Lonchura striata: one gene and its partners. The main gene of each other region encodes a partner of the protein of the gene in region 4 in a complex. Links are inferred from orthologs where the notes say so. Each region holds a gene or a part of one and is shown on either strand. Other genes may lie near its edges. The genes, in order: TAF1D, RRN3, POLR2K and TAF1C.

Evidence for each region.
Region 1: TAF1C (region 4) and TAF1D share a complex: the UniProt entries of both Homo sapiens proteins name them as parts of the transcription factor SL1/TIF-IB complex. The link is inferred for Lonchura striata from reciprocal best matches to the Homo sapiens genes TAF1C and TAF1D.
Region 2: TAF1C (region 4) and RRN3 share a complex: the UniProt entries of both Homo sapiens proteins name them as parts of the pol I pre-initiation complex. The link is inferred for Lonchura striata from reciprocal best matches to the Homo sapiens genes TAF1C and RRN3.
Region 3: TAF1C (region 4) and POLR2K share a complex: the UniProt entries of both Homo sapiens proteins name them as parts of the pol I pre-initiation complex. The link is inferred for Lonchura striata from reciprocal best matches to the Homo sapiens genes TAF1C and POLR2K.

Annotation. Positions count from the first base shown.
Region 1 is NC_134604.1:39,303,048-39,310,257, reverse strand, and holds the start of TAF1D (TATA box-binding protein-associated factor RNA polymerase I subunit D), read left to right. Parts: upstream 1-3,880; 5' UTR 3,881-3,946; intron 3,947-4,230; exon of another isoform or gene 4,231-4,287; intron 4,288-6,079; 5' UTR 6,080-6,091; coding exon 6,092-6,327; intron 6,328-6,430; coding exon 6,431-6,878; intron 6,879-7,138; coding exon 7,139-7,210. Other genes in the region: BKGD (ester hydrolase C11orf54 homolog), read right to left, coding at 1,053-1,110. UniProt on the Homo sapiens protein: Component of the transcription factor SL1/TIF-IB complex, which is involved in the assembly of the PIC (preinitiation complex) during RNA polymerase I-dependent transcription.
Region 2 is NC_134618.1:8,938,624-8,946,520, reverse strand, and holds the start of RRN3 (RNA polymerase I-specific transcription initiation factor RRN3), read right to left. Parts: upstream 3,063-7,897; 5' UTR 2,986-3,062; intron 2,859-2,985; 5' UTR 2,848-2,858; coding exon 2,755-2,847; intron 2,272-2,754; coding exon 2,215-2,271; intron 1,378-2,214; coding exon 1,288-1,377; intron 1,201-1,287; coding exon 1,071-1,200; intron 619-1,070; coding exon 559-618; intron 102-558; coding exon 38-101; intron 1-37. Other genes in the region: transmembrane protein 238, read right to left, coding at 6,822-6,831. UniProt on the Homo sapiens protein: Required for efficient transcription initiation by RNA polymerase I (Pol I). Required for the formation of the competent pre-initiation complex (PIC).
Region 3 is NC_134603.1:21,793,925-21,801,485, forward strand, and holds the start of POLR2K (DNA-directed RNA polymerases I, II, and III subunit RPABC4), read right to left. Parts: upstream 3,347-7,561; 5' UTR 3,159-3,346; intron 1,241-3,158; 5' UTR 1,238-1,240; coding exon 1,177-1,237; intron 468-1,176; coding exon 375-467; intron 1-374. UniProt on the Homo sapiens protein: DNA-dependent RNA polymerase catalyzes the transcription of DNA into RNA using the four ribonucleoside triphosphates as substrates.
Region 4 is NC_134642.1:39,697,718-39,704,917, reverse strand, and holds the start of TAF1C (TATA box-binding protein-associated factor RNA polymerase I subunit C), read left to right. Parts: upstream 1-4,010; coding exon 4,011-4,142; intron 4,143-4,230; coding exon 4,231-4,324; intron 4,325-4,471; coding exon 4,472-4,578; intron 4,579-4,665; coding exon 4,666-4,761; intron 4,762-4,842; coding exon 4,843-4,913; intron 4,914-4,999; coding exon 5,000-5,247; intron 5,248-5,321; coding exon 5,322-5,432; intron 5,433-5,544; coding exon 5,545-5,668; intron 5,669-5,778; coding exon 5,779-5,850; intron 5,851-5,969; coding exon 5,970-6,105; intron 6,106-6,199; coding exon 6,200-6,328; intron 6,329-6,474; coding exon 6,475-6,649; intron 6,650-6,763; coding exon 6,764-6,901; intron 6,902-7,190; coding exon 7,191-7,200. UniProt on the Homo sapiens protein: Component of the transcription factor SL1/TIF-IB complex, which is involved in the assembly of the PIC (pre-initiation complex) during RNA polymerase I-dependent transcription.

The DNA of each region.
Region 1 (7,210 bases), on a different chromosome or scaffold from region 4:
AAGTGGACAAGGACAGTAAAAGGGCATTCTTCAAATTATACCCCAAATCTGAACAATTCCCAGCAACACAATTCCCAGTTTACAGGAGATCCTCAGGACAGATGGGGAAAAAAGGGAAAATTCTGCTTTGTGATGAAATTTTTCTGATACTCTTTCAAGCTGTTCTACTGCAAGTACATGGTGTTCTCTGCAGAGCTTAGAGGTCTACAGCAGCCCTGGCCTACTGCCCCCATCTGACTGGATGAGAAAAGCACTGAGAACCACCCAGGGCACTGCTGGGACCACACGTTCTCAACACATGGAAATGTCAAACTGACACAGATCTGGGAAAGTGGCAAACTGAACTTGAGGATCAATCTGAAAGACAAAAAAACTTCAGTATATCTGCTGCAGGGGAGAGACTGCTGGAATAATGTCTTCCTCCTAGGGCAAGAAAAGAAGCTCATGAGCATCTGGGCCAAACCTGTAAGTCCCTTCCAACCTCAACCATTCTGTTATTCTGAGTAGATCTTGCAAAGGCTTTGGAAAGAAGTAAACTACAGAAGATGTTTCCTGCAGCCCTGTTCTAAGGCAATCACAAAAGGAGGAGCCAACTATGTTCAAGCAAGAGGATCTGCCATACTACACTGCATCTTGTCATCTGCCATACTACTACAATGCATCTTGTCAGCTATGTTTTGGGCAGTCCTGAAAAAGAAAGAAATATTAGAGGATAGAGGAGGACAGATAATTCTGTATGTGTAAAGAAGTTTGGTGTGTAGTGGTCAAACTTTCATGACCTGCACACAAATCTGCACATGCAGCAGTTTTAAAGGAATTGAGCCTGTGCATTTATCTTGGGCCCTTGGGGAGGACTCATTGTTTGCTCTAAGAAAATAATCTCATTATATAGAGAAACAGTGCTGTTTTTTACCTCTCGGTGTGCTAAAAGCAGGAATTCTGCATGTCCTAGCTGTAGAAAGACTTTGGTATGAGTTTTAAGATAAGTTTGAAGAGTACATTACAAAGTAGTGTATAAAGTAATGTATAAAGTCACGTGTTGCATTACTTACCCCCAGCAAGCTCCTCCAGACTTGGGACATGAAAAGCAAACCTTTCGACTTTGGCCATTTCCTGATCAGTGCTGATTTCTTCAGGTAAGAAGTTACAGTACAGCACACTGCAGAGTAAGTGGTCTGCCAGCAAAGATAATAGTTTAACAATTTAAACATGCTCCTTTCAACATGTTAATTATTTTTCAATTTCACTCTAGAATACATAGAAAAAATAGAACTGTAGTTCTACCATCATAGGAGACACTGACATCTTCAATAGCACCATTAAATTTCGTATGCATTTTGGAAGAAGATGTGTCTGTCAGCCCTATAGCTGGCTCAGAGCATTACACACACTAGTCCTCAAGCTGACAACTGGGTGTAAAGAAAACATATCCTACGCTGAATGCAGTTCAAGTGGTCAGGAGATTTGGGAGTCTTTTTGTAAGGCTGGAGTCACAAGAAAGTTTTGAAAGAAACCTGAGCTTTCCTGAGCACATCAACTGCCTCCTAAGGTCTTCCTGAATTTAATGTTTACTTTTCCAGCACTGGATGGTGGACTTTCAACCGCAGCTGTGACATGGTCTCCAATTGATTCTGGGCATGTGTTTCCCCTTCCAGAGAGGAACAGGCTAGCAGCAAAATAGAAATCAACAGCAGCAAATTCTGCAGTATCAGACTCTGTAGCCATACAAAAAGTGTCTTAAAAACCCAGTGTGTACTATAACAAAAAGTTTTGAACATGACTTTAAGAGCCCCTTCAGAAATGAACTGCACTGCAGTCAGCCATGCAACAGCAAAGCCAGCTAGAAGGGCAAGCCACTAGGTCAGGGCAAAAACAACTGATTGTACACTACCTAAAAATCTGCTGCAGCAATCATTAACTCCTTAGGCACATACCACATACTTGCTATACACAGCAATAAAAAATAAAATGGGTCCTATTTACCCAGATCTCAGGTGGAAGAAGGAAAAAGCCAAAATCCTAACTACATTCCTAGACCTGAGTCTTTGTTAGGAATGACTATTGTATAAGACAGCTGCTTACATATATATTTAGCTTCTGTTTTTAAAAAATCCTAACTTTTATGACTATCAAAAAATGTAACTGTCCTTACACCATTAGCATAAAGGGAAAAAAAACCACCAAACCAGTGGAAAAAAGAAGATGAGTAGGGAGATCGTAGCAGTCACTTAACTGAAATCTTTAAGCCCAATGCTCAGCCACTCCAAGTTACTGCATAGCAAGCAGTAGAGAAGGGAAGAATGACTGCAACCTGTGTATAGTAATTCTCATCTTAGTTGGTCCTATCTATCTCCACAGTTGACTTCATCCCTCCTCTGGCTCTGGAAAGTAGCAGGCTGGATTTGGTGCCTCTGGTAGAAGCCTCATGTCAGGCGGAGTGAATCATACCACAAGACTTTTAGTGTGCACCAAGAAAGGGAGTAATGTAAGAACATGGCTTTGGGAGCATTGTTTTAGACAATCCTCACCACCTCAAGAACCTTTTGCCACATCCAGGAGGAGGCTGTGCCAATGCTCAACACATTGGTTGTCCTAAAACAGCCTGAGAAGGCAAGCTATAATTGCTGCTGTACAAAAGGCAGGGACAAGACTTGTACAATACCAGTATAAGTTAGCTCCCCACAATCAAGAAAGGAGGGAAACACTGTGGAAAAATTTGATGTAGCATAATAAACCCAATCTGATTGGCAGGCAGTTGTTCTTACCAGGAAAGACACAAAAGGGTAGATCTGTAGCCCACCACTGCAAATATTCACAGGGGAGTGAATTGTGTAGTGTGGGGACAGAGAGAACCCGAAACAACAGCATGCAATTAAGATCCGTCACAGAGGGTTGCAGTGACACTGAATCGCTACAGAAGACTTTCAAAGGAAGAACACAAATGCTAAAGGGATGATAAAATTGTTATAGATGTGGGATGGTGCAACTAGAATGGAGGCAACAAGTATGCAAAGACTTAAAAGTCTACCTTTGAAGTGGGAAGAAAACATTACAGAGAGTAGCCAGGTGCCAGGAGAATACAGATGAAATGTGAACCATTAGATTGATTATATATGTGGATAGTCTATTGTCAAAACCTGAACTGAAATTAGCTTGGAGACTTAAAGCCAAAAAGGAGAGATTACAGGCAGGTAGACACGAATCGGGGAGGGAGGTGGTGGGGGAAGAAATATCAGTGGAAAAAAATGAAGACGGCAGTTGTGAGAGAGAAATGTAGCGATGACACCAAGACATCCATAGGGGCAGAAGCGGTATTTCTCTCCTGGGGCGGTGCGAGGAGATCCCGTACGGGGCAGGGGAAGGCTGCGCGGCAGCAGAAGCTGTTCGAATGGCTGGGATCTGGGGAATCACGGCAGGTATTTACAGGTGTGCTAGGCGAGGCTGGGGTCCGTAGGGACTGGGAGCACCCCAGCAGGCAAAGACAGCGAAGAGTCCTGGAGCGAGGGAGCGCTAAAGCCGGCATAGCTGCGAGGGGGAGGAAGGGGCTGCTGAGGCTGGAGCAGCCAGCTCGGAGGAGCCTGGGCAGCGCGGGGAAGGACGAGCAGCGCAGCAGGAACCGGAGCCTCTCGCCGGGCGGGAAGCCTAGGGAACCCGGCAGCTGCCCGAGCTCTGCCGCGCACCGACCGCCGCTATCGCCCGTCCGCACGTACCTGCCCTGCCGCCGGGACTGGCACAGCAAGGCAAGACAGGACTTGATTCGATACGGCTCGGCTCGGCTCGGCTCGGCTCGGCTCCGCCCCCGGGCGCGGCCGCCCCGCGGCCACTGCCGGCATGGCGCCATCCTCCGCCCCGCCTCCTTCCCGCGCGCCTCTCGCGAGCTCCCGGCGCTACTTAAGGCGCGGGCGGCCATTGTTCTCTCTTTGCGGCGGGGCGGCGGCGGGCCAGGTGGGTGCCGCGGCCGGGCGGATCCGCCGCCATCCGCGCCGCGGGGGCCGGCACCGAGGGAGCCGGGAATGGAGGGACAGCCCGGGCGCTGTGGAGTCGTGCCCCGGGGGCTGGGGCGTGTGGCGGCGGTGGGTGAGGGGCCCCGCGGGAGCGCTGCCGGCGGGGTGTCCCCGGCCCGTGTGATCGGTGCGTGCCGGCGTTTGAAAAGCCGAGCCTGGCGAGCGGCGTGCTTGGCGCCTTTGGCAGGTTCTTCAGCCAGTTTAGGTGGTTGTTTTCTTCCCTAAGGGATCTGCGTGGCCGGAGCTGTGGTAGAGGCCTGGAAGGATACTGAGCTGCGCCTTGTGAGTACTAGGCAGGGCCTGCGCGGTCAGAGGGCGTTGTCCTGCTTCTGGCCTTGGCTGGTTTTGTTTCTGGGCTTTGTGTTTGCCAGGCCGAGGGTGAGCCAGTGTGAGCAGTGTGCCTGCAAAGGCATCGTGAACCTAGCGTGCGAGTGCCTTCTCCTGTCTTGAGGGGCCCGAAATGAAACACAGGATTTGGAGGTGTGGCCTCATCAGTGCTGAGTATAGCGGGACAATCCCTGCCTTGGGCATGCTGGCCACACCAGTGCTGATCCAGGCCAGGATGCCACTGGCCTTGGCCACCTGGGCACAGCCTGGATCATACTGAGCTCCTGTTGGCTAGCACCCCCAGGGTCTTTGCTGCTGTAACCCAAGTGGAGGATCTGGCACTTTGCCTTGTTGGACCTCAACTCAGTTGGCATCAGTCCAGCCTGTGCAGACACCTCTGCAGAGCTTTCCTGCCCTCCAGCAGATCAGTATTCCCACCGAGCTTGGTGTCATTTGCAAACTGAATGAGGGTGCACTTAATCCCCTTTTTGAGGTCATCGGTGGAAATTAAACTGGTCTGGCCCCAGCACTGATCCTTGGGGAACATCACTTACGACCAGCTTCCAGCTGGATGTAACCCCCTTCAGCACTACTCTGGGGGCCCGGCCATCCATCCAGCTTTTCATGCAATGAACAGTGCACCCATCCAAGGCACGAGCAGCTAGTTCCTCCAGGAGAATGCTATGAGAAATGGTGTCCAAAGTTTTACTAAAGTGCAGGCAGACAGACAACAACCACGGTGTTTCCTTATACACTGGTCATAGAAGATCATCAGGTGGGTCAGTTGGGATCTGCCTTTTGTAAATTCAAGCTGACTGGGCCTAATCCTTTGGTTGATGTACCCTCAGGATCATTTGCTGCAGGTTATGTGAGGACATTGGATGAGCTCTGCTCTAGTGTCTTCAGATGCTGAACTGTGTAATTGCATTTGAAATATTAATGGGTATGATGATGAGTTTGTGAAGCTCTTAAAAAGCACAGTAAAATTAAAAAGATGCAGGTCTACAGGGCTAGTAAATAACTGGTAAAATAACTAAGCACATACAGAGGAAAACTTTGCTGTATGTTATAGTCCCTTTTGTATAGACTTGGGGCACTGAAGAGCTAGACTGTGTTGTCTTGAATATTCAAGTGAAAATTAACATTTTAGTTCTGGAGCTGGTCTCTATGATGATTGAGAACCAGTGAGCAAATAGATAAATAGATTTCTGAGAGCAGGAGATTTTAGGTATCCTGCAGCTCACAAAAGAACAGAAGGAAAATGGCATTGCTTCTTATGGTGACACAGTCTTGGATTAAAGTTTTTAAACCACAGTGAACTAAATATTTATGTATAACTTAAAACTGCATTATCCTTACAAGTATGAGAATCCATTGGCTATTTGTATGTGTGCTTGTTTGGAGGAAAACTTAACCCTAGTAGGGAGAGGGTTAAAATATTCAGAATTAATCTCAGTGAGTCTCTGGTGTCCAATCTGTTGGACCACTGATGCTTGCCTTCCTGTGGTCAAGAGCTGAACTAAAAGGACTCTAAAATTTTTTCTGTCCTCAGTTATGATATGAGTGTCTTGAATAAGTGGGTGTGAGTTAAATGTTAGTATGCAGAATATAACTGGTTATGGTTCATAGGAAAGCACCCGCTCCAGATTGTTCTTGTAAGTTTATCCTGTGACTGTGAGTGGAGTAAAGTCTGTTGCCTGATTAATGTAAGTTTTTTTTAGTTTCTTCAATTCTCATTTCCTTTTGGGGCAAAGTGAAACATGACTGATACAGATGAACCCCAGGCATCTGGCTCTGATTACTCTGATGTGCAAGAGCTGATCAGCCATCAGCCGCAGGAGCCATCTGTGATGTACTCATGGCAAAGGAATACAGGAACAGAGCGGTCAAGGCAGAAGGTGGCTGCACCTGGGGAGTCTTCAGATCATCCTAACAGCATGTGTGAAGCATCAGCAGCTTCAGCTGAGGTTTTACTGATCAGCAGTGATTCAGAAATGTGAGTTTTTATCTCTAGTTCAGAATTTTTCCCATGGAGAACCTGTGTGATGTGTCATAAAACTGTACCTTCTTTTGAAAGTAAATACTTTCTTCTTCTTCAGTGATGTCTCTGCTGCTCGTCCTGAGTGCTCCATTGCTTCAAAGCAGAAAAGGAGATCTCAATCTTCAAGGCAACAAGATGAGTCTGTTACAGAGGTAGCTGACAATGAAAGCTCCTCAGATTCTTCATGGTCTCCCCAAAGTCCAGGGAATTCATTAGACGTTTCCAAGCAGCAGAAGTCAAAACTCAATTTGAAGGCCATTTTTGCCTATCACTTCAGGGGAAGGAAGTTCAAAGCAGCCGCACACCGAAAATACAAAATTTACGCACGGAAGAACAAGAAGAAAAAAAAGTATGAGGGCACACAGATGCCCACAGGGAGGCCCCCACTGACAGCCTCACCTCAGGAACAAAAGAGGAGGCTTCTAGACAGAGGTTTTCAATTTCCTTTTGTTGAAAAACATTATGGGGAGAAACATATTCCCTTAAAGATGGTTCTTGGCTATGAGGTAAGCCCTCTGTTTTGTGGGATAAACATTTTATTAGTCTAAAAATTGTGAATTGAAATGGGCTCTGTGGTGTTTCTACTAAAATAAGACAAACAGTTTTTACTTCAGTTAAACAGGATATTTGATGCTGTAAAATTAATACCTTTTAAAGCAAATACTGCAAGAATATATGTGGATGTTGATAGAATGTTAGAGTTACATTACATGTAAATGCTTTGTAGTGGATTTTTAAGATCTTAACCGAGTTTTTTTTTCTACAGCAAGCAGCTGCAAAGGGCTATTTCAAGTACATTGAAGTGCTTAAATATGAAGAACATCTTAAAAAAGCTTTA
Region 2 (7,897 bases), on a different chromosome or scaffold from region 4:
GAAAAGGGCACACAAACCCAAGGGATTCTGTACTTACGAAGGAACATATCTTGCAACAGTTTGCAATGCTCTGTGGCATGTATCAAAGTTTTCAGAGATGTCTAGAGAAAGAAAAAAGAATTCTTATGCACTTGGTTACAGAAAAGTAAATCAGGAACCAGTAAAAACAGTTCATATCAACTACACAATTGAATGATTCCCAAGAAAACTGCATTTGCCAAAATGCTCTTTTGCGGGGGTGTACACTGAGATAAATAAAATAGAAAGCAAACAACTAACTTTTCTTTGGCTTTGAAACAACCTAGGTCTAGGAATGTTTCCCTATGCATTCTATTCCTACAGATACAGCACCAACAGGAATAGTTTCAAAGTAATAAGTGGGTCAGCACACCATTGATTTGAGTACAAGAAAGTCTTTGACTTAGGAATTTAAGGATGTTTCTTATGTTTTACTTGAACTCAGCTCAATTAATTTTGTAAAAAAGGAGCAACATGCACTGGATACTGTTTCGGTAAAGGCACTACAGCAGCATGTATATCTATATACTTTATACTCACTTTCATCATCATCATCAGAATCTGAAATATCCACATCATCTTCTCTGATGGTTATTCGAGCTAGTAAAAAAAAAAAAAAAAGATTATTACATCTTTTTTCAATTGTATACATCTTATAGGTAAGAAATTCAGTAGCAAATACACTGAACAACAGTCTCCAGCACAACTAGAGCGTCAAAATTAGCTGCAAGACCTTCTTAAAGACTGTTATTTACAGAACTAGGAGGTTCTTGAGAACATCTGACATGATCTTCACTTCAGCTTTTGGTTTTTTAGTAGTTAAGATATTATACAGTTCATTCATTTCCAAGACATCTTCAGAACAAGATCTGTATTAGCACCCAGAATATATCCTCTAAAATCTAGGTACAGAAAACTATCTGTATGACAGTCAACATGAAAAAACTCAATAACCCAATAATTAATTGTGTTATGGACTGTGTTTATACAGAACTTATCTATATAGGGATTTTGATGAGCAAACAAAGACCGATAAGAGAGAAGTAACCTACGGGGGACAAACTGTGACACGATCATCCGCAGGCACGGCCTGAGATGCACAGTTTGTGCTGACACAAGATTGCCAAGGAAGCCCAGATATTCTTCCACTACCTCTCGGCTCCTTCTCAACCATGGTAGCTTCTAAAAGTAAGCAAAGATCAAGATGTCAAAGAAGGATGTTTTGAGTACTAAACTCTTAGTCTTCCCATGTAGCAAACAGATACTTACCAGCAAAATGTTGACCAGTTGTCCAAGCTCTTTGGTCAAATATGCAACAGAAGCTCGAAATTCATGCAGCCAATTAATGATCTGGGCATCCTTTAAATCAGCAGAAAAAAATAGGTTAACTATTTCAATAAACAATACTACCTATTAGCAGAAAATACCAAAATCCTTAGAAGTCAAAGATTAAGGCTGTAAATAGAAATTGTTTTCACACTAACATGAAAGGAAATTCAGTTTGTGCCCTCACCAATGAAAGTTCTTGAATGCAGAATACATTCATGCCAGCTCCTAAACCAACAGACTGACATGAAGGTTTCAGTCAGATTAAGCAAGGCATGAAACCTCCCTCACACAGAACATAAAAGAAATGGTATTCCATCATCATTTTCTTTTCTCTTTTGCTCTAGTTTAAGCAGAAGGGACACTCAAATCTTGAAACAGCAAACATGGCTAGTGCTCGTAGCTATACAGAAGAGCTGTGAAACAATACTTCTGGGTATAACTACTAAATGCATATGTGTGTTACTGCCTAATTAAATCAGATTTAGTGAGAACAGAAGGTAAAATTCGATGCAACTTTAAGGCTATGAAAATTAGAAACCATGTCTGATCTACAGAAGAGTCTCCATAATCAACCATCAGTGACCTAAAAAGATGGTATCTGGAACAGAGACTCAAGGGTAGAACAGGGTCAGTAAGCATGAGACATCATTTATAAAGATCCTGCATATACGTATGCGTACAAAAAAGACATTTTTTTTCCATTTAGAGTTTTAATCCTGATGGTTTTTGCAAAGAAAAAAATGCTGTTTAATCAAATTTAAATCTTTAAAGCAAAGGCTTTGTGTAGTCACCAGAATGACTTGTCTGGTGATTACACTCAGACAGACAAACTTTAAATCATCAGACCCCTGACTATCAAAGTCTTACCTTTATGTCTGGATCTGATAGCTGATGTTTTAACAATTCAAAATCTGTAGTGTCACCCTAGCAGGGGAAACAAAAATAAATAAATTACTTTTTTTTTTTCCTTCAGTAAAAACTACCAATTTCATCAATGCATCTGAACAACCAACTATTGAACAGGTACATCAAGAATACAAGACAACCAGCTCAAGAAAGCTGAACAGTAACAGGAAAGCAGCAGTAACAGGGTGTCATCCCAGAAGGCAACCGAGGCTGCTGGCTCATTTTCAGCTGCTCTCCCTGCAAACACAGCTGGATCCCTGTGCACACTTTAGCATAAGCCAGGCTTTACATTCACCCAGCCACGCAGGTTGACTCACGGGGGAATCTTTTTGCTCGCACAGCAATTCTGCCTGGCACAAGCCTACAACGCTCAGCCGCCTTCAATTTTTTCCCTAAGGCTTCAGGCACGGTCTTGCATAAGGCGAAACGAGTGTTCTCACGGAATGACCCCCGAAACCAGCAGTCCGTGCGCAGCGCAGGCCCCTGAGAAGCCGCAGTCACCTTTTCGTACTTCAGCAGGATCTCGGTCAGGGTCCCCCCGAACCGCACCGTCTTCCTGGGCGGGGAGCTGATGAACTCGTCCGCTCCCAGCATGGTCACGGCGCCTGCGGGGAGGGGAAGCCGCGTGAGCACCGCTCGGAGGCCCGGGCACCTCTCGGGCCCCTCCTCAGCCGGGAGAGCCGCGGGGGCCGCCGTTCCCCTCCCAGGATCCCTCCCGCTGCCCGCCCTTGCCTTGCGGCGGCGGCCGCGCCCGCGCTACCGGGGCCAGCGGCGCCTCGCCCCGCGCCCGGCGCGCCCCGGCCGCCCGCGCCGCCACATGCCGCTCCGGCGGAAACTGCGCGGCCGGGCGGAAACCGCGCCGGCGGCCCGCCCCCGCACCGCCGCGCCGCGCCGCCGGGCGGCGGCAGCGAGCGGGCTCGGAGCGGCACCGAGCGGGACAGGGCGGCACCAGAGAGGGACAGAGTGGCACCGAGCGGGCTCGGAGCGGCACCAGAGAGGGACAGAGCGGCACCAGCGAGCCGGGACAGAGCGGCACCGCCGGGCGGCGGCACCGAGCGGGCTCGGAGCGGCACCAGAGAGGGACAGGGCGGCACCAGAGAGGGACAGAGCGGCACCGAGCGGGACAGAGCGGCACCAGAGAGGGACAGAGCGGCACCGAGCGGGCTCGGAGCGGAACCGCCGGGCGGCGGCACCGAGCGGGCTCGGAGCAGCACCGCCGGGCGGCAGCGCTGAGCGGGAAGGGAGCGCTGGGAAGGAGCAGCCGCGGCGCTGCCCCCGCCCACCGTGGTGAAGCCAGGCAAGAGGAGCGGGAAGCTCTACTCTCGTCACCGTTCTGGGTTTACACTGACTCCCGGTAGCGATCCCAGCGTCCCGGGGTGCGTGAGCAGAAATCCAGATTGATCCCCAGGGCCATGGTGGAGCGAGCCCACCCCGGGATGGTTCACAGGCGAGCGCTCCCCGACCCCTTGGGCAGCTCGCCGCGAGCAGTGGGAGCCGCGGGCAGCCCCTCACAGCACGGGTGACACCAAGGGCACGGCCAGCCCGGGTTATCAACTAAAAACTGCAATCCGAAGGGATAAACTAAATGGTACAAACAACTTAATTGAGATTAAAAAGGGCCAAGAATCTGCTCTAAATTAAGCAGTGTTTGACCTTGGGAAGTAATAATGGATTTGCTAGAATAGAGGCACAGGAACTCCAGTGAGATTTCTGGATGTTTTCATCCTCCCTATGTAGGCTGGGTCTATGTTAAAGCACCAGTCATTAAACAAAATGTGTTATGGACTTTTCTGTGTCAGAGCTAGTAACTGGTTTTGCTCCTGAAAGATTGTATACACACACAAATTCTGCTGCCACAGCAACCCGGGTAAGTATGAACAGAGACTTGAATTTCCTGTGTAGTTCTTCAGTAACATCCAATCTGCTGGAAGCTTACTTTGGCTGAATGTGTAAAATTTACTTCACCCATTCACACAAACTAGCTACAGCAACACGTGACATTATTTGACCTTAGCCCTCTCAACTTTGTATACACTTATGCTTCTTTTCTACACAAACTGGTACTGTAATAATTATGTCACTCCCAGCAACTCTCACAAGTTACATCAAACAGATTTTTGTAGGCATTACTAATAATATAATCTTGATGATGATGAAGATATTCCCATTTAAGTAGATACTATACACCACATGAAATCTTCCATTAGATGCAGTCCACGTTTAAAGTCTAACAAGCATTTAATCCATCTACATAGTTAGAAGCTGGAGGTTGGTATTTTTCCTTTAGTGGAATGTAGGATGACATTTTGAGCTAGTTTTAAGACTTAACTAGCAAAAGACTTCTGTAGCCACCCTTCTGGAACTAGTTTGGTTCTTTGTGATTTTGCCTAAGATTTTATACAGCACACATAAGACTTCCTTCAATGGCTAGAGGAATTCTTTTAGCTGCAACAGCAAGCAGTCCTAAACATGTCCAAGAGCTTCCTTCCACTCAACAATGTAAAAGTTCTTTGAATGGACTTTGTGCTGCATTGGCAGAGCTGATAAGGAAACTAAAATAGTGTTAAATATTTGTTAATGTGTAACTGCAGGTGATTCCCAGTTTCTGTTTAGAAGGCAAACTGATTGCATGTAAGAGTAACTGGATGCATTTTCAAAAAGAAAATAGTTACAATGCTTACAATAGGTATCATATCACTGCTCCACAGCAAGTACTGTTTGTCTAATTATTTGGTCTCACCATCTTCTAGTGCTTTAGTGCTTTTCTGTGCTTAACATCCTCCTTAACTGATGGGTCAGTTCCTATATTTCATTTTTAAAATATATACTATTCATACTAGTAAACTAGTTGGAATTCTACATAACTTTTGAGTGAAGTTGCACTCTAGCTACCATCTTATACAACAATCATTAAGTACTGATATTGGATTTGATTAATTACATCGTAATATACAATGAATGCAAAGGCCTGCTCAATTCACTCTAGCAATTATTATTGCTTTAATAGAGTAGAACACTTGAATAGAAAAATTTTAATAGAAAATTTTGGTTTTCACAAACTAAGTATGTGAGCTACATATATGAGTTTTGGCTTAATTTATTCCACTTATTAAACAGTGTATCTCATAATTCACTTTATAAGTGAAACAATGGGGAATCAGAAAAAGCATCTCTTTCTGTTCAGGAAAAATGAAACGAACAAAAAATTATTGCAAATGAAAACTGATCTACAGGTTTGTTTGGGTTTTTTTTAATCAGGCCATTGCAACACTGGAGTGGTGTCACATTGCAGTTCCATTAAAAGCAGGAAACAAATTGCATACACCTCCTAAAAATTGCAGATAGTAAAGGAGAAATCACATTGCAGATCTTCAAGTTTAGTGTTCTTCTGAATTTGTTAAAAGATAGAGCATTTGGAAAGCATTTTAAAATGAGAATATGCAAAGAAAAGAAGTTACTCTAGTAATTTTACAAGAAAACACTGAAAGACATTTCAGGAGTTCATAAGGAAGTACAGCCACAGTGTTCTTAGCAAATATTTTCCTTAATTCCACCTTTAGTATTCAATGAGGTGTGGCATAGAACAATTGTGCATTGAAATTTTAAGCCCTACCAGTATTTGCTGATGGTGGCACCAAACTCTTAGTGTAACTTCAAAACCAGAAGAACTCCTGAGGAAATTCTCAACACAATTTTATCATTAGCACAGTTTTAGGTATCACTAGCATTAATATAAATCTTTTTCCAAGTACTGTTTGTTAATGCTTTACAATGCCTTGGGGTACTTGTTAATCAACAGAGTTTCTTTTGGTCATGTTCTCTCTCTCAAATGCTTCAGCATTAGGAAAATAGTTTCCAACATCACTGGACTAAAAATTACTCTTGCAAGTGTCATCATATTACATCGTTTGTTACTACAAAGAATGTACTTGTATACCAACATCACTGGGGTCTACTTATAAAGTCTCAGATTCCAGGTTATTTCAGAATAACAATGAAACTTTTTACAAGAGATGCTATAAATTGTGTATTTACACTATAAACAACTTCTACTACATTTGCAGCTTTGCGTCAACAATTTAATATAGAGATTTTAAAAGCACCCTTACAAACAAAAGTATTGCACTGGCATTATAAAAATTCACAGTAAGTTTAACTTCCAGACCTTGGTAAAAAACAGTGCAAGAGCTTTTCATTGTGCAAGAGCTTTTTATACAAACCTTTCAGGTTATTGAAAATAATAATAATTGAAACAACACAATAAAACCAACCATATGACAAGCTGCACTGACATTTCAATGAATCAGGTTCAATTCTCTTTAGCTGTCACTTCTCAAAAAGATTTTGTGGAATCTTTTTTCACCATTTCAAAGCATAGCCAGTCCAACACTGAAATAGGTGCTTTTGGCAGAGATATGGCTCCACGTGTCCATTTTATGGAGAGTCCACAATGCTTGCAGAGGTTATTCCACAATGAGAGAATCCTACTGTCTTGAGTAGGGAATCTCTTTCCATAATTTGCAGCATTTTCCCCACTTTTTGGGGCCGTAACATCTTTAGTCATGTCTTCAACAGATCCTGAAGGTAACACATGAAGAAATGGTTACTCCAAAATAGGCTTAGAACAAATATAACTCTAAACTGTTACTTAAAGTCAGTCTTAAAAGTACTTTTCCTCATATTGAACAGCCAACTGGAACCCAAAGAAAAGATCCATTAAGTCACCAGCCCATCTCCAATGGTGGCCAAGTGTGATGTCTCAATGAAGGCATAACAATATGGCACACAAGTAATATCCCCTCAGGATATCAACTGCCCCAGGTCTTCCTTAGCCAAATATATTATCTTTATATTATCATGTATCTTCTGCTTTGTCCTTTGAATTTTTGAATCAGTAAATTTTTATCTGTCCCACTGTCCCATGTCAAGTAATCACATACTTCACTTACATAGCACATGACAGTTTGTGCCTGCTTTGCCTTGGGAGACAAGCACTTCATACCTTTCCCACAGTGACTGCATAGACTTCTAGAACACTTTATATTCTGCATCTCTTTTCAGGCTTGAGGATTCTAATCTACTTGTTATTCCTTTAATAGAAACATTCCATGTAATGAAAATTCTCACCTTTGTCTACTGTATAATGTTTAAGACGGGAAATCAGAACAATGTAGAATGCTCCTTTCATAATTTCAAAAATTAATGCTCAAATTTTCCAAATGAAAATAAAGAGAGGATGTTTGGGGTTTGTTTTGTTTTGTTTTGTTTTTAGGATTTTGTTTTGTTTTGTTTCTGAATGTGTGTGTGGGGGGTGCTGGTTTTTTTCCTTCTCAGGCAATATCTGCCCAAACATGTTTAACCCGTTTGGTTAAGTTCATAAATATCTCCTGATGGGGAGAGGATTTGGTCTATCAGCAAGGAATGACCTGATTCAGACAGTTGTTTATGAGAAGTTCTAAGATACTTTAGGTGAACTTACTTTGAAAGGGAACTCCAAATTATCTTTCAAGGTGAAACCATTTGTTATTCTTTGTTTCACCTTGCAAGTAAAATCCCAGAGTTTATGTTCCAATATGTAACATAACTGCTGTACACCCCCTGTTTTGGTTTTGGTTCTTTCTGAATTACCATTACTGAAGGTTGT
Region 3 (7,561 bases), on a different chromosome or scaffold from region 4:
ATGGGGGAGAGGAAAAGAGACTGTCTAAATCTAGTCACAACTACATACATAAAGTATTTCAGAAATCATCTTTAATAAGATGCTGAATAGTATCAACAATCCACAGTACTTTACCCAGCAGACTATCGTAACTTAATAGATTGTGCATAGAAAATGGAAAAAAAAAAAGAGAAAGTGCCAGAAAATAAATCCGGGTGCCAAATCACACTGCAGAGATTGTGCTATAGTAATTTGCTCTACTGCATTGATTTTGGACCCTGAAGAATTGCTATGTAATTTTTTGAGTTTTCTATTCTGTTTCCCTTACATTCTGTTTCCCCTTGTCTCCATCCACAGCTTTCCAACGGCACTCAAGTGTACTTGTAAAAGGATACATCTTTTGGTCCTTTTCTTGTACATTATTCTGTAGCCACATTCTCTGCATCTGATAGGATCTCTTGCCTTTATTTCATTTTCCGTATGACATTCTGATGTTATGGAGGAAGAAAAATGAAGTGGGGGCAAAGAAGAACAGCACTGTTAATGCACAGATAACTTTGAGAAGTTATGACAGTCAAATTCTTATTTGTGGCAAACAAACATAGCAAGTGTAATGAATCTGTATCAAAAGCTCAATGATAAGATACAGTGAAAAAAAAAGAGAAAATAAAAAGTAAGCTTCACTTATATTTAAGATAAAAGCAAATCTTGCTAAAAATCACCCAAATATTACTGCATAGAACACATTCCACACTTGATACTAGATCATCTACTAATGAAAATTTTAGTTCATCCCTCCAAAGCCCAAAGTCTATTGTCTTAAAAGACATAATATTCTAGGGATACCTGAAAACCACCAATTTTTAAGTCATCAATTAATCTACAGGTAAGAGAGAATCTGACTACTGTACTTCAGGGAAAGCTGAGTGCCCTAACAGCACTGTCAATAAAACATATAGAGATCGAGGAGCTCCACACAGCAACACAAGCTCTAGAGAATTATCTCCACAACACTGCATATGTACTCCATATATGTGTTACCATCAATGCATAAAGCTTTAAACATCATCAGGATATACACTGCAAGTATTTGTATCTATGTACCCTTCAGTATAATGACTAAGCACTATTCATTATTAGAACACTAAATCTCCAGTAACAAGTAATAAAAAAAATCATTAAATGTCTTTTTTCTACCTCCACAAATATAAATCATTGGCTGCTGCTTTGGAGGCTGAACGTCCTTCTGTGAATCCATGTTCTAAAACAAAAAATACACAACATGCACATTAGCTTGGGTTTGGGGTTTTTGGGTTTGGTTTTTTTTTTTTTTTTCCCAAGGCATACACAATCATTTTAATATCTCAAGCTAAACATAACAGAACATGAAATCACTTTCTTTCCTCCTTCCTCCCAATGTTAGGAATTTCCCTGCTGGAAACATAAAATTCAATAATTTCTTATATGCCACTCATGTAACAATGGTGCTAACAAAGATGGTAAGCCTTGTCATCTTTCCTCCCTCTCTGACACACTAGCTAACTCATTGTTCTAAGGTATTAGAAATATTGGGAACAGACTGTAGGTAGAAAAATAGCAGAAATTAAAAAGCAAAACAAAAGGGAAAAAACCCTGAACAATGAGGGGTCATGGAGATAAAATTCAACCCTTCAAATCCTACCAAATCAAGAGTAATAACTCAATGCTATTCTCCAAATACTTCTTAATGTCCTATAATCGCTTTGATTGTTCAGACATATTTGAAGACAAGTATTTCTTCATGGCATCAGACTAAATAGTTGCATATACTCCACAAACACTCCTCCAAGTTTTAAGTAATCCTATCCTACATGTAAATGTACATGCAACCATGAATTTTGAGGTGGTTACTGTACATAGATAAACACTTTTTCCCCCACCCAATTCAAGTCTAGGTGAGAACATTAATTATTTCCTATTAGGTTTTCTGAGGCTGCTGTTTTCCGTATTGCTGTTCTGACATAGAGGAATTCCTAACCCTTGTGCCAGTAAATAGCCTTCTTGATGCTTCCTTTGCTTCCCATGAGAGAATGGCTCTCAGATGCTTTTGCTTAACATTACAGCAAAGATTATTTCCCTCATCTTCAGAATTTGTTTCATTATAAGTTCAGCTGGGAAGATTATGATACTGAAAACAGGACAGGGACATTTCATACTTTAGGAGTCTGATCAACACTTGACAAACCATCTTGTTAAAACTCCCACTATGTCACTCCATTTAAGAGAACTTGATAAAATCCATTGACTTCTACAGCTTTCAAGTATGCTACACCATATTCATAGTGGCATCTTAACTCACATGTGCTATAGTTTTTTGTGTCAGCATACTGCACTAAGATATGTGCAGTCACCAATTACCACTGGAAAACAACGGACTCTTCTAAAACACAGAGCTGAACTAAGGTGGATCACAGTTGTAGCTAAATACCTTGGGCTAGTGCTGCTTATGGAGCAAAATTATACTGCTGCAAAGGGCAGCAGTGAACTAAAGTTCTGTGTTTTGCAGGGAGGTGCCATAGCTTAGCTGGCCTTTACACACCCTACAGCCCTATGTGCCACCAAGCTGACAGAGCCAACAGGCCCAGTGATGCACCAACACGTGCTGGGGTGCAGCCAGGATCCACTGCAGAGACGTGGGGGTACCATGCGCCAAGAGCACCTCACCAAATCACAGAATGGGAAAGGCTGGAAGGGACCGAAGTCGGTCATCTGGTCCAACCTCCCTGCTTAAGCAGGATCACTCTACAGCACACGGCACAGGAGAGCACACAGATGGTTCTTGAGCATCTCCAGTGAGGGGAATTCCTCAGCCTCTCCGAACAATCTGTTCCAGTATGCAACCCTGCACAGTAAAGAAGTTCTTCCTCCGATTCAGGCGACACTTTCAATGCCTCAGTTTCTGCCTGCTGCCTATTGTCCTAGTGCTTGGCACCACCAAGAGGAGCGTGGCTTCATCTTCTTGGCACCTCTCGCTTCAGATATTTTTGCATATTAATGAGGTCCTCTCTCCGAGCATCTCTTATGCACCCGTGAAAGAAGCCAACCCGCTCATTCACGTCCCGCAGAGCCCACGAAGAAGGGCTTACAGCCCTTCGCACAGCCCACGGGCCCCAGGCTCCCCATCCCGCCCCGATTCCGACCTCCTCCACTGTCCGCGGGTCTGGCGCGCAGAAGCGAAGGCCACGAGCCTGGTTCCGGCCTGTCCCTGCCCACCGCGGGCACGCCAGCAGCGCCCAGCAGCGAAGGGGACACCCGAAGGCCGGAGCAGGCACCCACCGGGTCCGCAGCTCCGCGGGCTCGCCGCCTCCCCGGCGCCCGCTGATGACGAGCGCCCGCGGGGGCGGGCCGTGCTCCGCCCCGCCGCCAGCGCCGGCCTCCGCGGCGGGGCGCGCCGCGCGGCTGAGAAAGGAGTCGGTATTCCGCTCCGGGTGCTAGCCACCCGCGGGAAAAAAGACAGGGGGAAAAAAAAGGGAAGAAAAAAAAAACAAACCAAAAGAAGAAGAAAGGCACACATTATTTTAAGACACAAGCTTCCATATGAATAGCAGTGTGAAGAAAGTAGGCAGCTGCATGGTTAGGTAACACTAGCCCCAAGGTCCCCGGTATTTTCATTATTTTATTTAGCTGTACTCAACATACTCGGGATAAAGAATAGCCCGCACCAGGTCTGGTCTTACGGCTGCGGAGTTTTAATCCACCGAGGTGTTCTGCCTCAAGGTCCTCTCTGTTTTCAGAAGCATTTTACCTAAAATTCGTGGATAAAGCCGGCATCTTGATATTTTGATGACGTGGTCGGTATCATATTTACCCACATGAAGCCAAACTTATATACTACAAACATATATGTTGCGCATTTTATGTGTAAGGTTCTATTATGAGAGAACTTCATATGTCGGTATTCCCCGATGTGCTGAACTAAAATAGTGCAAGCAAGATTTGAAACTACACCGGTTGCTCTTTGTCAGTGGTTCCACCTCGCTTGCGGTAGGAATTTTGAATCTTCGACTGACAGTTTGTAGAATTAGGAATCTTTGCTGTATTTCTCCCCACCTCCCACAATGTTTAACGAATACTATGTTTTATGAATATGCCAATTTAAACTACTAGATCATTCAAAGATTCCCTAGTTTAAGGAAAGATCTCTTTCTGTTTCTGAATACTGAATAAAAATTGTTTCCTAAGCATCCAAATTAATAAGGATGAGCTTTTATCAGTTGTAATTCATTGATGTTCTCCTACCAGCAAATCACCTTCATACAGGACATGTAACTTACCTAAAACGAACTCAGGTAATAATAAATAGTTGCAGTTTCCCTCATTTTGTGTTTAAATTAAACGTAATGAAATCACAGTAATGGCTTTAGACTTGCTTCTTCACACTGCTCTTAAAGAATAAAGCTCTGGAGTGCCAGAATAAAGCACAGGCAAGAAAAATGGTTTGTAAAAGGCAGAGGTACTGTTATAGGTTACTACTTGCATCCTCTCCTCTGCTACGGAGCTGTGGGTATAGGTGGGTACCAAGAGGTTTAAACAGAGGAGAGAAACAGCCTGGGCTCTTTATCGATAAAGGCACGGTAAGAAATTTCCAACTCCTAAAAAAAGCACCCCCCCCCACACACACCCGGTTATTGTTTCTCTAGGCTTACTGGTATTTTAAAAACTCATTTGTCAAACGGACAAATTTAAAAGGACTTACTAAAAATATCTCCATGAAAGATTCGGTTAATCCCGTGAAAATAATGTTTCCATTATTAATAAAGAAATAATGTAAATATTTTTATTATTGGTATCCCTTAAACATTCCCTTGGAAAAATGGGATGCTTTACCAGATCTTACAGCTTCACTTCAGCAGTTTCCGATAAAATCCGCCCCTTACGGGAGGAGCGCTTTGCTAAGTCCCACTCCCATGTGCTGGTAAATTCCAGCCCTAAAGATGCTCCGTTGGATTTAGAGTAGCAGAGAGCGTGGAGACTGTCTGAGAGATTCCCACTGTACTGTAAAGTGAAATAGTTATTGGGGAATTGGCAGGCAAATGAGAAGAAAGATTTGTGTGTCGAGATGGGGAAAGCACAGGGATACAGGTACTTTGGACAGGGGAAGGAAATGCAGCCGGAACCGAGCGCAGTGCGACTATTTCAGAACGTCTCACCTGGTTTCACTTGTTAGAAGTTGCGTTCTCAGGTCTTGGGGGGTTTTTTTTGTGTTGTTTTTTGGGTTTTTTTTTCTTGGTTGGTTTTTGTTGCGGTGGTTTTTTGGGATGGGAACTTTTTTTTTTTTAACACACTTTGTAGTGTGACACTTCTGTGTATTGCATAAAATGTCGCAATTACGACTTGCTAAATTTCTTGGATATTTTTGATCCAGCTCGCATAAATCCATGCAGATTTGAGTGACGGAGACAGAGCTTGCAGTGGCTGTGTCTCACTAGTAAGCTTCCAATTTTACTGAGAAGGTATTTTAGAAATAAATACAAATATTTGAAAAACAATTTTATTCAGTTCCTGTGAAGCAGACGGTATTACAGAAAGCACTTTCAGAAATCTTCGACTACCTTGAAAGAAGTTTCTAATGTTTTCTCCTTCTAAAAAGGAAGGGGGAGATAGTCCAAGAGCCTTTCTCTTTTAAGCCATAACTGTTACCTTGTAGTCAAATAAACAGATATTCTTTCCCTCGAAGTCAGTTTCCGCCGGCTCTGGGTCGGGAACTTTTAAGCCCTTGTTTCCTCGGCCCCCTCTCAGGCTGCCTCACACCAGGAAGAGCGGAGTTGCCAAAGGGGAAGGCTGACAAATATCAGAACCCACGAACAAGAGTTACGTTACTTAAGCCGGGAGTTTGCATATTAAAATATAGGTGTAGCTTTAAGAGCCAGTTTTAGGTCTCGCATTCAGGTCTGCCATTCCCCATCCCGCCGGTGTGAAGAATCACGCTATCCTTACCGAGCCCAGGACAAACATCCATCCACGTAGTCTAGTTTTGGCGGTTTTCTCGTTTTAGTTTATTTTAGTATGCAGAAAAACTAAAACCACAGCAAAATCCAGGAGCCAGTTTCTGAATTACTACAAGTTTTTTAACAAATTAAACAGGAGTAACCCTTAGGCCATTCACGACAGGACAGGGCGCGGAATAAGTACTCTGCACTGTAGCCAGGGAGAATGGTCCTTCCCGGGATCTCTGGCAAAAAGTACCTGGGGAGACTCTATTGGGTCCATGAGGACCTGTGCGGTGCTGGAGTCGGGGATCCTTCACCGACTGCTTTGAAGGTGATGTACTTGACAAACGCTCTGTGACTGTTTTAGTCCTGGGCTATCCGGTAAAAAGGTAATTAAGCTAATTAACTCAAATTAACTAGTACTCTTATAACCCGAGATTAAAGGCTGCGGCGCAGATAAGGGTTATTAGCGGGGAATGCCCCAGGCACCCCCGAGCCACCCCTCAGCGCCCCCGCCGCCGTTGCCCTCCGCCCTCGGGAGCGCAGCGGGCTCCGGCAGAGGCGGGAAAACCCCACCCTCACCGGGCGCCTCCGGGGAAGCACAGCAGGGGCAGGAGCGACTCAGGGGCGCTTCAAGCGTGGGCTGGGCGCGGCGGGGGCCTCGGGGCCCCGGTATCAGGAGTGAGGAGCGGGGCAAGCCTCGCTGGTGCTCCCTCCCGTCCCCGAGGGGCGGTCTCCTCAGGCTGCCGGCCGGGCCGAGCGCGGCGGGGGCGGGGAGGCAGCGGTTGGTGAGGCGGGTAGTTCAAAGCCGAGCGAGGGAAAGCGGCGGCGGCCGCACGCGGGGGGCCGGTGCGGCTGGGGAGAGCGAAGCGGCTCCTCGCCAAGGGCAACGGGCCCGGCCCGGGCGGCGAGAGCTCCTGAAGCTCCTCCAGCCCGCCTTCACTCCTGCTCCTCGCCCGCAGCCCTGCTCGGGGTGCCCCGCCGCCACCTCAGCTGCGCCCGGTGGCAGGGCGGCCTCCAGGCTCTGCTCCTGTGCCCACCGGTTTGCCGGACGAGAGGGCGAAGCGGTTGCTTTGCTCGTGTCCGGCATCCCAGGTGACTGAGACCCTCGGGTGCTGGTCCTCAGCTACATCTCATTTATCGCCGTTGCTGGGTAATTAGGCATTGCAGTTAACACATATTTGTGGAGTGAAAACTGTCTCAGCTGGGTAATGTTTCTCTTGGACCTCTCTCTTTTCTCTCCACATCCTTTCTCACTTCAGGTTATCACTAGGGGTAAGCAATACTTTGAATACACCGCCTTTGCATTGGAAGATCTTGATTTGCTTCACAAATTAGGGTAAGTGGCCCATATCATGCAGACAGGACTTGGCTGTGTCATCTTCAGTATTATTACCTGGAAGGTATCAATGACTTTGGGGTCAAAGAGCAGTCTTTTTTACAGATACCATATCTGTTTAAATAACAGAGAAAATACTTCTGTATCACCAAAACTTTGTCTTTATCTCTTTTGTAAGCAGTGGTGAACAGTGATTTTAAAAAAGGCAAAAAATGTCTTGTTCCATGCATAAGTGTTCTGTGTGTTACTGAGGAACACAAATTACTAGGAACAG
Region 4 (7,200 bases):
GCCGTTGATGTATCCCACGCACATCCTGACGCCCCGCTGGACACACACCCCCGTTTCTGCAGGCTGTCCATCTCCGCTGCTCCCCTGCACGCACACAGCCTTCTGCCCTGCATCTGCAACTCCCCGGGCCCACTCATTGCCCACGCACACGCCTCCCTCCCAGGGTGTTCCACTGCCTGTGCACTGCCTGCATCCTCCTCGCACGCACAACTCTGCACCCCACTGCTCATCTGTCTCCATGCCTCACTGCATGGGTACACCGTGCCCCACTGCACGCACATCCATGCATCCCATTCCACAGACATCCAGTACCCTCTACACAGGCATCCCTGTACCCCATTATGCAAACACCCCCCTGCAGACGCATCTCTGCACCCATCGCACCCACCTCATGTCCCAGTGTAGATGTACCCTGTGCCCCATGGCACCCCACACCCAACTGGGGACAGCTCTGTACTCTGCAGCATATCTGCCCCAAAGCCCACCGCATAATGGCCCCATCCCTTGTGCCACACTCACCGTGTCCCGTCACAGGTGCACCCCACATCCCAGGATGCCATCCCCCCATAGCTGCGTCCTTATGCTCCATCTCACCCACACCCTGCCCCACTGCATGCAAACCTCACATCCCATTGCTCATGTAGCTCATCCCAAGCTACACAGGTACCCACTCCAAGCTCACCCCCTGTGCCGCACCACATGGACCCCCGCAGCCCACACCTGCAGCCCTTCTCCCCACCGCATCTCACCCACTCCCTGCCCCGCAGCAGGCACACTCCGCATCCCATTGTTCGTGTACTTCACACCCATCCCAAGTTCATCCCTCTGCCCCACGGCTCCTCACGGAGCCCTGTGACTCACCTCCAGCCTTCCTGCCCACCGCGCACACTCCCGCGCTCCATTCTCACCTGGCCCACCCCACTGTGTGCACACCCCACATCCCATTGCTCGTGTACCTCACGCCCACCCTACACGTTCATCCCGCTGCCCCCGGCACGCTGTCCTGTGCTCCTCCGCACGGACCCCCGCACCGCGTGCCTGCAGCCCCCCTGCCCACCGCACACACCCCCGTGCTCCAATCCCACCCGCCCCGCTGCGCGCACCCCCCACACCCCGAGGCTCCCGTACCTCACACCCATCCCAAGCTCGTCATCCCTTGCGTCCCGCCGCACGAACCACCGCTCTCCGCTCCACCACCTCTCCCACCCACCGCACACACCTCCTCCGCGGTACCGCCTCGCCCCCGCCGCGCCGGCACCCTCGACGTGCGCTCCCGCACGCCGTCCCGCGCTCGCCCCGCCGCCCCACGCCCGCGCCCCCCGCCCCGGTCTCCCGGCGGCGCTCACCGGCGGCGGGCGGCGGCAGGAGCAGGAGCGGCAGGAGCAGCAGCGGCAGCGGCAGCGGGAGGCGCTGCCCGCCGCTCCCGCCGCCCCGCCGGGCCATCGCCGCCGCCGCCGCCGCCGCCGCCGCGGCTGCCGTGGGGCGCGCGCCTCCGGCCGCCCCGCCGCGCACCGGCGGCCCTGACGTCATCCGCCCCGCCCACCGGGACAGCCTCCCTCGTCGCCATTGGCCTCCGGGCACGTCAATCACCGGCGGGCGCGCCACGCCCCGCCCGTTCCGAGAGACAATTCCTCCCCTCCGATCCCCTCGGGATGGACCCGGCGCTGACCGGGGCACTAGGGGACAGCGACACGAGCGGGAATGGAGATGGGAAGCTGCGGGAAAGGGGCACCGCGTGGAACCCGAGATATGGGCCGGGAACTGGGGCACAGGGCTGGGCACAGGGACATGGCGCTGTAACGGAGATAGGAGCCGGGAACGGGGGCACAGGGCAGAGACACCGTCTGGAGCAGGGACACGGGCTGAGACCAGGAACAAGGCGCTGAGGGCAGGAACATGGTGCTGTAACTGAGATACGGGCCGGTAATGGGGTCACAGGGCTGGGGGCAGGGACATGTCTCTGGAACTGAGACATGGCCAGGAAGGGGTCACAGGGCTTGGGACAGGGACATGGTGCTGTGACAAGGATATAGGCCGGGAACAGAGATATGGGGCTGAGGGACAGGAACATGGGGCTGCAAACAGAAACATAGGTTAGGGGAGAGGGACAGAAACAATGACTGAGGACAGTGATGTGGGTCTAGGGGATAGGGATACGGGTCTGGGGACAGGAATATGTCCTGGGCACAGAAATATGTCCTGGGTACAAAAATATATAATGGAGAGGGACATGGAGTTGCTGGCATGCCCTGGAATTAAGGAAACGGATGGAAGGCAGCGAGGGCTACCTATGGAGCTGGAGGTGGTGGGGCTATCTACCCCACAGAGGGCTGTGTAGGGGGGTCAGGTGGTTTTCTATCAGTGGTTACCACCTTCTAAAAGCAAATTGTAGCATGTATCTTAGAGAGGAGGTGTCCCACAGAGGGGGTCTGGGCACCAGACTCAGGGATGCAGGATCCTCAGACTGCAGGGATGAGGCCATCTTGACTGGAAACAATCTCATCATGCTTTCCCAAAGTCCCCCAACATCATCCCCAGACTCTCCTGACATCACCATCCTCCTTGGCCATAATGGAGAAAGCAGGTTACTACTCATGGGCATGCTCCTCTCCCATCCTATGCTCCACACAGGGCACCCTGGGAGCTGAAGCAGGAGCAGCCACCCCACCATGTCCCTAGCCTGACTGCCCAGCAACCCTCCCCAGAGCACAGACCCCCATGCAGGCATGGCTGGAGGTTCCCTCCCCAATGCAGACCTCACCAGCACAGCTCCGGGGCCAGTGGCCTCTGACACAGGGAGGTAAAAGGACAGTTGTCCCTCAATGAGAAAGCTGGTCATGCTCTCCTTGGGAAATGGACTGGGGAACTTGTCTCCCTGCCAGATACTCTCCAAAAGCTCCAGGATCCCATCAGAACCCCATGGGACTAACATGAACTCTGTGTGGGTTCCCATGGGAGCTTGGTGGGTCCCTCGTGGGGAGCCAACAACCACCTTGTGGGGAGGAAGGAGCACAGAGCTGGGGTGGGAGTGGGTTCACCAAGGCCAAGCAGGTGTGAGGAAGGGCAAGGTGGGATTGGGAACTGGCATATCCACAACCTTCCAGGAGCTGACCTTCAACTCCACAGCCCTCAGATATCTGAGACTGTCCCATGGCCCCATACACTCCGCTGGAGTGTGGGGTGCCCCATGGCCACACAGCCGGGGCCACGGAAAAACAGGTGTGCCTCTGGCAGGTCTCACAGGGGGGTTTCACTGCTCTCGAGGCGGGCAGAGGGAAACAATGCCCGTACTCCTGCCCGTGCCCCGGCGGGGTCCTGACCCAATAATTCTCCTGTGCCTGTCCTGCCCCGGCCCTATCACACTATTCCCTGTGCCTGCCCGGTCCTGCCCCAGTTCCACCGCTTCCCCTACCCATCCCGTCCTGTTTCCATCTCATCCCACCATTTCCCTCCGCCCGTTCCCGTCCCGGTCTTACCACTTCGCTTTGCCCTTTCCCGAATGGGTCCCACCTCTTCTCCCGCCTGTTCCCGTTCCCGTCCCGTTCCCATCCCAGTCCTACTGCTTCCTTCTCTCTCTCCCGTTCCCATCCCAGCCGCACTGCTTCCCTCTCCCTCTACCGTTCCCGTCCCGTTCCCATCCCAGTCCCACCGCTTCTTTCTCCCTCTCCCGTTCCCTTTCCTGTTCCTGATCCCATCCCAGTCCCACCGCTCCTCTCTCCCTCTCCCGTTCCCGTTCCTGTTCCCAATCCCGGTCACACCCGTCCCCGCTCGTTCCCGGTTCCCGTCCCGCTGCCGGCCGTACGTTTTTACCCTCCGGCCGCCAGGGGGCGGTGGCGCCCCACATGGCTGTACCGCCGTCGGCGCTCTGTCCCGCGCTGTTCCCGGGCCGCTGATTGGTGAGCGGCGGCAGCAGCGCGCGGTGACGTCAGTGGCGGTGGCCGCGCCATCCCCGCCGGTGGCGGGAGCGGCGGCCCGGCCGCGTGCTGCCGCCTGTGCCCAGTGCCGCGGCCATGGAGTTCCCGGCCGCGCTCTTCCCCTCCTACTTCTGCGCCGGCCCGCCGCGGGAAGAGGGCGGCCCCGCACCGGCCGCCGGCTGGGGCGAGCACGGGCAGGTGCTGGAGGGTGGCCCCGGCCGCCGCCAGGTGAGCCCCTGCCGGGGGTCCCGGCGGGCCGAGGGAACGGGCAGGACGCTCATGGGCCGCTCTGACTCTCCTCCTTCGCTCCCCGCAGGTGCAGCCGGCGTTCGTGCCCCGCCGCGGCGCGACGGGCGAAAGGTGGGAAGCCGCCGACGCTGCGGCCGTGCCGGTGCTGCTGCCCAGAGCGGGTGAGAGCCGCGGGAGCAGGAGGGAGCTCTCTGCACGGGGGCTGGGGGAAACATGCCTCCCACGTCTATCGCTGCCGCTGCCCCGCAGTGCTGAGCGGTGACCCTGTGCTCGTGTGATGCCAAGCCACCTCTGCCTTCTCCCCACAGGCTGCTGGATCCCCTCGCCTGCACCTCAGGACATCCTGTACCGCAGCAGCCTGTGCAGGAAGCTCCGGATAGGCAAGTCTGGAGCCACTCTGGACTTTGCCAGGCAGGTGGGATTTGAGGCATTGCATCCTGGCAAGGAGCTATTTGGCAAGGACCTTTGCATGCACTGACCCTTTCTCCTTCTGCCCACACAGCTGGGCCATTTCTTTGTGGATCACCCAGAAGATGCTTTTGGCTCCCTGGGGCGTCTGCTGCACAAGAACTTCTATCTGGGAAACGCCAAGCTGAAGGTCACTGTCTGTCCAGGAGTAACAGTGCTGCTCCCCTCCTTTCCCCTTGCCAGTCTCAATCTCTGCTCCCTACTCCTGTAGAGACCAGCCCGGAATAGCACCATCCGGATGACAGCCCTGTTGGAAGACATTGACCGCCTGGAGGCCCGACGGTGAGTGTCCCTCTGTCCCCTGCCCTGCAGCAGTCTAGGGGAGTTCCTGCTCTGTCCCCCAACCTGATGCTGTCTATGCCCTGCAGCGGCTGCCCCCGGCAGCACTTGGCCTCCCGCCTGCGCTGGTTCTCCCACCTCTGTCGTGACTGGCTCTTCGAGGTGCCGCTGGGACTGCTGGCAGACTGCCTGCATGAGGAGCTGACGCAGCAGTGGTCCAACCTGCTCTTTGACGACAGCCTCACTGGGGGGGCACTGGCCTGGTTGCCCCCTGAAGACGGGGGGACAACCAGGGGCTGCCTGGTGTACCCTGGAGGGCAGGCTATGAACCACCTCTGTATCCTTGCCCATGGGATGACCCTGGGGAGGGAAGTGGGGGTTGTGTTGCACCACCCTTAGCCAGCATCCCAGATTTCCAGGATGTGGTGCTGGAGGGGCTGCCCCACACCCGAGGCTCCCCAGTGCAGTTTGAGCTCAGCGGGCGCATCCGGCAAGTGGCTGCAGCCCGTGTGGATGGGCAAGGTGAGCCAGCCCCAGCATCCACATCTCAAAGCAGACAAGATGTAGGGAGGAGGGGCAGCAGGGCACTCCTGGGATGTTGCCAGATTACATGCCAACTCCTTCCCCCTGACAGATTTTGTTGGGGTTCGCTCAGACTATCACTGTGGTGTTTGGAGGGTGCCGGGCAAGACAGGGGCAGCTCCTGCCCCACTACAAGTGATCCGCACCGATGTGCCTGCCTCCTGCCTCACTGTCAGGTGGGTGCTGGAGGAAAGGATTGTGCGTGGGGGGTGCTCTGCTGGCACAGCCCTGCTCTGTGTGGTGAGTTCTGTTGCACAATGATGATGCTGTGTCCCCTGTCCTGCAGCCCTCACCTTCCCGGGGAGCTGTCTGTCTGCACCCAGAGCGGGACTGTCTACCTCTGGAGCGTAGAGACCGGGTGAGATAGGGCATTCAGGGCTGTCTAGGGACACATGCAGACAGTGGAGTCTCGGGGGGTGGGAGGCCCAAGTGACTGGGGCAGCCCTACCCTGTGCCAATACTACTGTCTCCCCACAGGCTGCAGAAGCTCCGCCATGACTCCCAGACCATGTTTTTTCGGGACCATTCACCCTGGCGCTGGAGTGACTTCACAGCTCACCCACGAGTGCTCAGCTGTGCTGACCGCACAGGCCTGCAGTGCCTGGATGCCCGGGTGAACTTGGGAGGGTGGGTGTGTTGCTTGGAGCAGGCAGGGAAGAGGGTTCCACAGCCCAGAGTGCTGACTGCACCCTGTTCTACTGTTTCAGGCCCCCAAGAGATGCCACTTCGACTTGTTCAAGGTGGGCGAGGAAGCTGGCTGTCAGCAGGGCGAGCGTGTGGTGCTGCCCATGTACCTGGGTAGGGCTCACCCCTCACAGTACCTTGTCACCACCCAGGTGAGTCCCACCACAGCTGGGAGCTGGGGAAGACACGACACACAGTTGTGTCTCCCAGTGCTTATGGGGCATGAGGATTTTCCAGTGAGGGGAGCTGCCACAGTGCGTTGAGGTGTGTCCTGTCTGACCCAAGACTTCTGTCTTAGTTCTCCGTGTATGTGCTGGACGAGCGGTTGCCACTGGTGCCTGTTCTGAAGTGGCCACATATGATGAAGGCCCCTCCACTCTTTGCACACCTGATGCCAGGGAAGCCCGAGAGGAGCCACAGGGTGCTGCTCGGTGCGTCCCGCACCCAGGAGCTGTTGCTGTTGCAATACCGTGGTAGGAAATCAAGCTCCAGAGCCAGGGCTGCTCTGTACCCATGTCCTAGCTGCTGGGATCAGCTGCTGTTCTGGCACCTGTGCTAAACAGACGGTATTTGGGGTGTTTCCTCAGGGGGCAGCCAGTCGGCCTGTCAGCTGGCTGGGACTCCGCAGAAGCTGCACAATATTGCAGGGTGCCTGCAGCACCTGCCCACCCAGCTCCCACACCGCCACCACCTGCTCCAGCAGCGCCTGTCAGCTCCAGCAGCAGGTGAGTGTCCCACTCTGCCCCAGGCTGCAGGTCCTGGTGAGGGAGAAGGTGGAACAGAGTGAAGTGTAGCCTTTGTCATGGCCTGGCTGGAGCGTGGCTGAAAAACCAAAAGCAAAGCCCCGGAACAATCCTGCAGAAGAGATTCATGACACAGAAAAAGATGTACAGGGCAGGAACCAGCAGTGAGAGTGCCCACTGAGGGGTGGAGGCAGCCCTCACTGCTGGCCAGGCCCATGGAGTGTTCCTGGGGCTGGAACTCTGGTAACAATGCCTTTCCTTTTTCCTGCAGGGCTGGCTGC